Linked DNA regions of Xenopus tropicalis. The protein of the gene in region 1 binds, or shares a complex with, the protein of each later gene. Links are inferred from orthologs where the notes say so. Each region holds a gene or a part of one and is shown on either strand. Other genes may lie near its edges.

The links.
Region 2: the proteins of rad1 (region 1) and rhno1 are in contact, whole or in part, in a crystal structure (PDB 6J8Y), measured with the Homo sapiens proteins. The link is inferred for Xenopus tropicalis from reciprocal best matches to the Homo sapiens genes RAD1 and RHNO1. Residues at the interface, in NP_002844.1 of Homo sapiens: Asn47, Gly48, Ile49, Lys50, Phe64, Ile65, Gln66, Ser149, Lys155, Ile157, Glu211, Ala212, Lys240, Val241, Ser242, Arg244, Gln254, Tyr255, Met256, Phe266, Glu268; in NP_001239428.1 of Homo sapiens: Ser55, Trp56, Val57, Ser58, Pro59, Asp60, Phe61, Asp62, Thr63.

The regions. Positions count from the first base shown.
Region 1 is NC_030677.2:199,174,660-199,179,232, forward strand, and holds the start of rad1 (cell cycle checkpoint protein RAD1), read left to right. Parts: upstream 1-1,545; 5' UTR 1,546-1,661; exon of another isoform or gene 1,662-1,701; 5' UTR 1,702-1,960; intron 1,961-2,200; exon of another isoform or gene 2,201-2,201; 5' UTR 2,202-2,210; coding exon 2,211-2,405; intron 2,406-3,668; coding exon 3,669-3,777; intron 3,778-4,196; coding exon 4,197-4,455; intron 4,456-4,573. Other genes in the region: dnajc21 (dnaJ homolog subfamily C member 21), read right to left, coding at 109-202, 1,275-1,371. UniProt on the Homo sapiens protein: Component of the 9-1-1 cell-cycle checkpoint response complex that plays a major role in DNA repair. The 9-1-1 complex is recruited to DNA lesion upon damage by the RAD17-replication factor C (RFC) clamp loader complex.
Region 2 is NC_030679.2:10,384,878-10,389,229, reverse strand, and holds the start of rhno1 (RAD9, HUS1, RAD1-interacting nuclear orphan protein 1), read right to left. Parts: upstream 3,023-4,352; 5' UTR 2,919-3,022; exon of another isoform or gene 2,726-2,918; intron 1,541-2,725; exon of another isoform or gene 1,498-1,540; 5' UTR 1,460-1,497; coding exon 1,292-1,459; intron 1-1,291. UniProt on the Homo sapiens protein: Involved in microhomology-mediated end-joining (MMEJ) DNA repair by promoting recruitment of polymerase theta (POLQ) to DNA damage sites during mitosis.

The DNA.
Region 1 (4,573 bases):
GGAATTTCCTGAATGAATTGGTATAATCAAGGGCTTTAGTTTCCTATAAAAATACAGGCAAAATAAAGGGTTTGTCCTATTACCTCCCAACATAAGCTGATAACTCACCAAGCTCGCTCCTGGGGATCACTAATAACATCGTAGGCAGCCTGGATTAATTTAAACTGCTCGGCAGCTTCCTCTGAGTTGTCCAAGTTCTTATCTGGAAAAATACAAGTGATGGATTCAGGATACTCCCAATGTCTTTTACACTGTCAGCGATACATTCATAAGGGAATAGAGGGAAATACTTTGATGTTTATCTTTTTAACCCTTATTAGAGAACTGTACGTGTTTGTTTGGCTTAGACCCACACAGACACCCACTTACAAATACAACAAGGGGAGTAGCCACTGGTAGGCAGAAATAGTTTCCAGACTAAATTTCTAGCTGGCACCCTCATACCCACAGCCAGTAAATGGGGGATAGGCCCTTCCATCAACTGAGTAAATGATCATGAATAAAAGTTGCACTGAGCTGCACATTGTCCTGAATGTGGAATTAACCCTTCCCGTTAGAACATGATTATGAAAGCTTCATTTTAAACACGGCAAGCACATTCCAGCGCCTCCTGCAAGTTCCTTCTGTGCAATACCTCCATATAGATTGTAAGCTCTGCGGAACAGGGACCTCCATCCTCTTGTGTCTTTGACTCTTAACTTATTGCAACTGTATCTTGTATTTATTTGTATTTATTGTTATACTTTGTATTTATCTATTATTATCTTAATAACCCCCCGTTTGTATTAATGTATTCTACTGTACAGCGCTGTGTACATAAGTAGCACTTTATAAATAAACATATACATACACACAATGCGCTCTGCATTAGATTAGCCCCATCCTTACCTTGGTCTCCCTATGCCATTCTACACTGTAACTGAACAGTCCTGTAATCTACCCTCTCTGAACTACAACTCCCAGAATTCCGGGACAGCCATTGAGTTTTTCTTACAGTATACCCTGGGCAGTTAGATGGCTGCAGCCAAGTCATTGTTAGTCTGGGCTCACTGCTTCAGCCCTCCCACTCCCCCCATTCAGCCACCTGAGTGTCCCTAACTAGTGTTCCTACCTCACCCCAAACCCTCCCCAGCTGGTGTCAGTGTGACTGGAATAGGAACAGCAGAGGGGAAGCTCCTGTGGGGGCGGGACTGAAGCACAGCTGAGTGTTATAGCAATGCTAATAAGAATATCTCCCAGCATGCCCAGCAGCCCCAGTGCCCCTAGCGTCTCACCTGGGTGCCAGCGCAGAGCCAGCTTCCGGTAAGCCTTCTTCAGATCCTCATCCGAGCAGTCCCTGCGGACCCCCAGCACTTCGTAGTGGCACCTCATTGCCGGCTCTGTCAGGGCTACACGTGCGGACCGGAACCGGAAGTGGCTCTGAGGTAGGGGTGACTGAGGAAGCAGTTTCCTGTGGGCAGACGGTTACCAGGGCAACCAAGACTTCCGGTGCGTTCTGACGTGCTTGGTTTGCTCCAGTGCGCAGCCGCTCTGCTCCCACCTGCAGGTAGCGGGGTGATTATTACTTACTGGGGGGAAGCAGTAAATGTGTCATTGCGGCCCTCCAGCCCTTACTGCCCTCCAGCCCTTACTGCCCGCGGCCCTCCAGCCCTTACTGCCCTCCAGCCCTTACTGCCCGCGGCCCTCCAGCCCTTACTGCCATCCAGCCCTCCAGCCCTTACTATCCGCGGCCCTCCAGCCCTTACTATCCGCGGCCCTCCAGCCCTTACTATCCGCGGCCCTCCAACCCTTACTATCCGCGGCTCACTGTGCAGCTTCACTATTCTTCCCTGTGTTTAGGACTTCCCAGATGTTTTTTGGCCCATCACCCTTATTGTATACTGAAGACTGCTGGGAGTTGTAGTGCAGTAAACATTTTCTAATCATTTTTGGATGATTCGATACTTGGCTGAATCCAAAGGTTTGAACATTACTGTGGTACTTATTTTCACTTGCTTCCATGTGTTTGTTAATAGGCTCCGCCCTCTATAGCTCCACCCACTTATTAAAAAACACACATTGAAGGGCACGTTTATATTGTTGAAAAGGACTTTCTCTCTATTTCTATATATGATCTAATAATAATAATAATTTAGATTACTGTACCTTAAGGCTACTAAAAACATTTAAACATTAAATAAATCACTTATTATTATTACAGGGCCCTGGGTATGCCTTTCCTGACGCAGCCTGAAGTGGACGATGAGCAGTACGTGTTAACCTGCAGCCTGGACAACGCCAGGAACCTGTCCAACATTCTGAAAGCCATTCACTTCAAGGATCACGCGTCCTGCTTTGCTACCAACAATGGCCTTAAAGTCACGGTGGAAAATGCTAAATGTCTGCAGGCCAACGCCTTCATTCAGGTAGCGGGGCTTATTCCCTTATCCAGCGCTTACACCCTAAGCCCCTGATTATGTGTGAGCTAATGTATACGCAGGGAGCAGGGCAAGCTGAGGGAGATCCCCCCATAAGTCCCACAGCAATACTGTTACATCTGAGGGGCCACTTGCATGTAACCAGTTTAGGTATTCCTATCAATTATTTATGGGCCAGGTATTCCTATCCAGTCCTTATGGGCCAAGTATTCCTATCCAGTAAATATGGGCCAAGTATTCCTATCCAGTAAATATGGGCCAGGTATTCCTATCCAGTACTTATGGACCGGGTATTCCTATCCATTACTTATAGACCGGGTATTCCAACCTGTTACTTATGGACCAGGTATTCCAACCTGTTACTTATGGACCAGGTATTCCAACCTGTTACTTATGGACCAGGTATTCCAACCTGTTACTTATGGACCAGGTATTCCAACCTGTTACTTATGGACCAGGTATTCCAACCTGTTACTTATGGACCAGGTATTCCAACCTGTTACTTATGGACCAGGTATTCCAACCTGTTACTTATGGACCAGGTATTCCAACCTGTTACTTATGGACCAGGTATTCCAACCTGTTACTTATGGACCAGGTATTCCAACCTGTTACTTATGGACCAGGTATTCCAACCTGTTACTTATGGACCAGGTATTCCAACCTGTTACTTATGGACCAGGTATTCCAACCTGTTACTTATGGGCCAGGTATTCCAACCTGTTACTTATGGGCCAGGTATTCCAACCTGTTACTTATGGGCCAGGTATTCCAACCTGTTACTTATGGGCCAGGTATTCCAACCTGTTACTTATGGGCCAGGTATTCCAACCTGTTACTTATGGGCCAGGTATTCCAACCTGTTACTTATGGGCCAGGTATTCCAACCTGTTACTTATGGGCCAGGTATTCCAACCTGTTACTTATGGACCAGGTATTCCAACCTGTTACTTATGGACCAGGTATTTCTATCCAGTACTTATGGACTGGGTATTCCAACCTGTTACTTATGGACCGGGCATTCCTATCCAGTACTTATAGACTGGGTATTCCAACCTGGCATTCCTACCCATTACTTATGTAATATTTTCTCCAGAGCCCAAGACATGATTCTCTAATGATGGCTGCCTGCTATGCAGTGCGGTACCTCGGGCTCCATTCTATTCAGTCATTCGGGCTTGTGGATATATTTGGCACTTTACATTGTTTGTGAACACTCAGCTCACCCTTCTTTGTTTCCCTTTCTCACAGGCTGGAATCTTTCAAGAATTCAATATCCGAGAGGAGTCTGTCGTGTTTCGGATCAATCTGACCGTCCTGCTGGATTGTCTTACGATATTTGGTGCTAGCGCTGGGCCAGGTATAACCTCTCCTCTGTATGGTTCTTTATTTGTTGTGGGATTTAACTTTTAATGCAATTTAGTTTATTATATGTGAGTAAAGCTATAGAAAGATACAGGGTGCAAGCAACAACTGGTACTCCCGGTGCTTTTAGGCTGAGCCGTAAGCCCTGGGGCACCTGCTCCTACCCACAATCCTGCTAAACAGTTATCTGTTAAGTGCCATGAAGTTCCCCTTCCCTCCACCAATCAGGAAACGCTTATTAGGAAATGACTATTCTCCTTTCACAAAATCACCCTTAATTTGATTTGTTGCCCTCTAGAGACAGCTCAGGATCAGAAAATCACATTTTTATTCCATTTAGTAGACGTGTTCCTGTGTCAGGCTGAAAGCATAGCAGTCCTGATTATAGCGCTTTACACTTCTGTCTCGTCATAGGCACACCTACGGCTTTAAAGATGTGTTACCAAGGATACGGTCACCCCCTTGTCTTGTTTCTAGAAGAAGGTGGGGTGGTGACAGTGTGCAAAATCCACACACAGGAACCCGAGGAGACTCTGGACTTTGATTTCTGCAGCACCAACGTCCTTAATAAAATTATCCTCCAATCAGAAGGACTTAGAGAAGCATTTGCTGAACTGGACATGACCAGCGATTTCCTGCAGATCATCATGTCTCCTGATAAACCATATTTTAGGTACGTCTGGTCTCCTTTTTCTAATGTTTGTGGTTATTAGGCTATTTATTGTTGCTTGGCAAAAGCTCCTAGTGCTGTGGGCAGTGGGATTAGAGCAGCTGGGAAATTAATGGTAAAG
Region 2 (4,352 bases), on another chromosome or scaffold:
ATAGGATATGTCTCCTTTAATATATGGTACCAAAATACTGAAGGCCTCACTGAAACCTGCTGGTGAAATGTTGCAGATGATAAATGTGTAACGTGTAGCTGGACTCCATACATAGTAGGGGGGTGGGTGGTGGTCGCAGCAACAGCTTTTGTGTTTGGTTTGTCCCTAGGGTGCGGTTCTCTGATGGGCCCCAGGTACCCCAGTTCGACACTGGTTTTCTGGGGGTCTGTGTATAGTTAGGGGGGGGGTTACTGCACATAATACACTGACAGGGGGCTCTGTGTGCAAAAGCTGAGTTGCAGACGAGAAATCCTTATGCGCTATTTTCATTTTGGGGTCAGTACATACCGCAGACTTTGGTATATCTATGCATATTGGGCATCAAACTGTTCAGTAGGCCATTGGCCATTCATATTTAGGGTGATTTGTCATTGTATGTGTAGGGACCCATAGGGTTAATATGCCCCTATGATGTTAAACCCTACCTTTCCTTTTCTTCCTTGTCACTAGGCAGGATTTACCCCACATAAAATGCAGTAAATATGTTGATTGTGCAGTAACTAAAATGACAGATCATATGGGGGGGCATTTTTATTTTGGGGCCCCTACATGCCCTATACTTATGTAAACCTATGCACAATATACATAGTAACATAGTAAGTTAGGTTGAAAAAAGACGTACGTCCATCACGTTCAACCATAATGCCTATATATAACCTGCCTAACTTCTAGTTGATCCAGAGGAAGGCAAAAACCCCATCTGAAGCCTCTCTAATTTGCCCCAGAGGGGAAACGATTCCTTCCTGACTCCAAGATGGCACAATGGGCATCAAACTGTTCAGTGGGCCTGTTGCTGATGACATTTAGAAGCCTATATCTTGTTACAGAATCAGGGATTCTCATTGGAGAATTGTTTTGCATTATAAAGCAGTTGCTGGCTGTGGAGATTTGGGGAATAGTTTTATTGTGCAATACTGCTTTAAAAATGCAATCCTGATGTTGCTAGACTACAGCTCCCAGCATGCTTGAACTATCATATATTACATTATTCTGGGATTTATAGTCCAGCAACAACTAAATAAAGTTTGGTTGAGCAGTGCAGCAAGGTTTACAACCCCTTAACATTCATCAATGCAAAGCAACGTATCCCTTGGTCAGACTGTGATTGCTGTAAACAGCTGAATGCCATTCTGATGAATGGGGGTGTTAGATCCCAGGGTAGCCCAGAGCTTTAACACCCTCCTGAATCAAAGCAAACTAATGTAGCAATGAAAAAATACCCAACACTTACCCAAGAGGCGGATGCATTGTGATCCAGAGGTTTGGTGGGCACACATACAGGGTGGGCCGCCTTGTCAGGGGGTAGTCCATACTCATGGCGCAGACCCTGCTTTGGGCTTTCCAGGAACACCAGGCGTGGTTTGCTTGCGTTGTATGAGGTCTGCTTCTTACGAGGCATCGGCAGTTAATGGCAGGAACGCCAGCAGCCACATGGTGCTAAGGGGCAATAAACAAATGGCTGTATCCAGGAAAATCAGCCCTAAGGCACAAAAACAGAGGGACAGCAGGATTAGTATGAGGTGCAGAACACTGACAGGCAGTGGGCAAATAAGCCTCCCATTAAATAAGCCAATGGGATTTTACAGGCAAAGCCAAAAAGGTTTGATCTAAAATAGATCAAACCTTTTTGGCTTTGCCTGTAAAATCCCACTGCCTTATTTTTAGATTCTAAATCCTTATACTTGCTGCTGGTACAGGTATAGGACCCATTATCCAGAATGCTCGGGACCAAGGGTATTCCGGATAAGGGATCTTAGTTGGGATCAAGTACAGGTACTGTTTTATTATTACAGAGAAAAGGGAATCATTTAACCATTAAATAAACCCAATAGGGCTGTTCTGCCCCCAATAAGGGGTAATTATATCTTAGTTGGGATCAAGTACAGGTACTGTTTTATTATTACAGAGAAAAGGGAATCATTTAACCATGAAATAAACCCAATAGGGCTGTTCTGCCCCCAATAAGGGGTAATTATATCTTAGTTGGGATCAAGTACAGGTACTGTTTTATTATTACAGAGAAAAGGGAATCATTTAACCATTAAATAAACCCAATAGGGCTGTTCTGCCCCCAATAAGGGGTAATTATATCTTAGTTGGGATCAAGTACAGGTACTGTTTTATTATTACAGAGAAAAGGGAATCATTTAACCATTAAATAAACCCAATAGGGCTGTTCTGCCCCCAATAAGGGGTAATTATATCTTAGATGGGATCAAGTACAGGTACGGTTTTATTATTACAGAGAAAAGGGAATCATTTAACCATTAAATAAACCCAATAGGGCTGTTCTGCCCCAATAAGGGGTAATTATATCTTAGTTGGGATCAAGTACAGGTACTGTTTTATTATTACAGAGAAAAGGGAATCATTTAACCATTAAATAAACCCAATAGGGCTGTTCTGCCCCCAATAAGGGGTAATTATATCTTAGTTGGGATCAAGTACAGGTACTGTTTTATTATTACAGAGAAAAGGGAATCGTTTAACCATTAAATAAACCTAATAGGGCTGTTCTGCCAGGGATCAAGGGATCAAGTACAGGTACTGTTTTATTATAACAGAGAAAAAACAAATCAGGTTTAAAAATTCTGAATTATTTGATTAAAATGGAGTCTATTCGGAGCTTTCTAGATACCGGGTTTCCGGATAAGGGGTCCCATACCTGTACGTTAGCCAAGCTCTGAGTGCTACAGTCATTAGTCTCTGCCTCCTGTCATACCATGAGTTACCCACAGATGGCGCTCCCAACATGACGGCTCCGATTCCGTTTAAAACAAACAGGTCCAATCAGCATGTTCCCCACCAATCAATTTGTTATCCACAACTGCACCCACAACCCACCGACAGCTACAAACCCTTAATAAGCGGACAGGTAGCCCCCGAACATTCCGGCCCAGCGCTGTAATATCCCCTTCTTTCCGGGATACGTTAGGGCTTCTCTCTTTCCCCGACACCGATTGGCTACGGCGAGCGTTCTATAACTCGCTCATTATGATTGGCTCTTTGCCAAAGGAACTCGTTGATTGATTGCGCGATTGGTCGAGAGATGCGTGACGCGCTAGGGACGCGCTGTGGATTGGTCGATGTGGTCACGTGGGTTTAAGCGGGCCCGAAAGCGCGAAAATTCAAAAACCACGGAAAGGCCCGATATTGACACCGTCTTATAAACAGGTATTTAGATCGGGTTAGATCGTCATCGGACGTGAAGTTGGGGCTGTGTGTGTATGAGGGTGGGTGCAAGGCTTGTGTAGAAGGAGCATGGAGGCCTGTGGGTGTAGGGGGTGTCAGTTCTCAATATGGAACTGTCATGTTCCACTCTATGGAAGCCGCTGTTGTTCAACTACAACCCACCTGTAATGTCTTAATGGTCTTTTGGGGGAGGGGGTGTCCTGCAATGGTTCAGCCACATATTTTATATATATATATATATATATATATATATATGGGCCCTATCTGCCCATGGCAACTTTATCTCCCAATTGTGAAAATGTATCCTGTTTTCTGGCTTTAGTGCGCCCATATAATGAGGTTGTTGGGTTATACAATGGCTTTGCCTTCTGTCTGCCTCACCCTCCTCCTCCATCAATTCAATGGGTAATGAGTGACCTATTCAGTGAATGAGGAGGGGACAGGGGCTTTAACAATCAGTAAAGGGGGGTGCTAGAGCCATTGTCGCTCACTCTGTAGCAGTGCGGGTGTTATTAGGGAATTAGTATAGGTTGGAAAATAAAGTTAGAAACACACGAGAAGGGATCTCTAACCCCCTTGTATCACATATACAGCAAGAACCTAACAGAATAACGTTCTAGCTGGTCCAGTTCTCCTTACTAACCAATCAGAGCAGCAGGGAGTTCATTATGAAGGATGCTGTACCATAAATGCCTGTAATCCTTCCTCTTTGTTCCATAGCCCCAAGCAAATCATTCTATGCATCAGCTGCTGTATTGCTGGGGGGTCCCGCAATGGGTCAGTAAGGCCACTTGCCCAGCTACTGTATATTTGGGCACTATCTGCCGCTGGCACTGTGCTAGTGATGAAACCACGCAGCCATGGCAACTTTATTTACAAATTGAGGATATTTAACATGTTTTCTGGCTTTAGTGCAAAAAAAGGGAAAGTTGTGCTGACCATTACATTTTAAACCAGGGGGTCCTCAAACTACGGCCCCCCACGGGCATTTACCTACCCCTGCTGTGTCCTCACCCCTGGCTACTACCTGTCTGCCTCAGCGTGGCCCTCGCTGGACACATTAGCATCGGCGGGTGTGACAGGGTAACGTGATGCAGCCA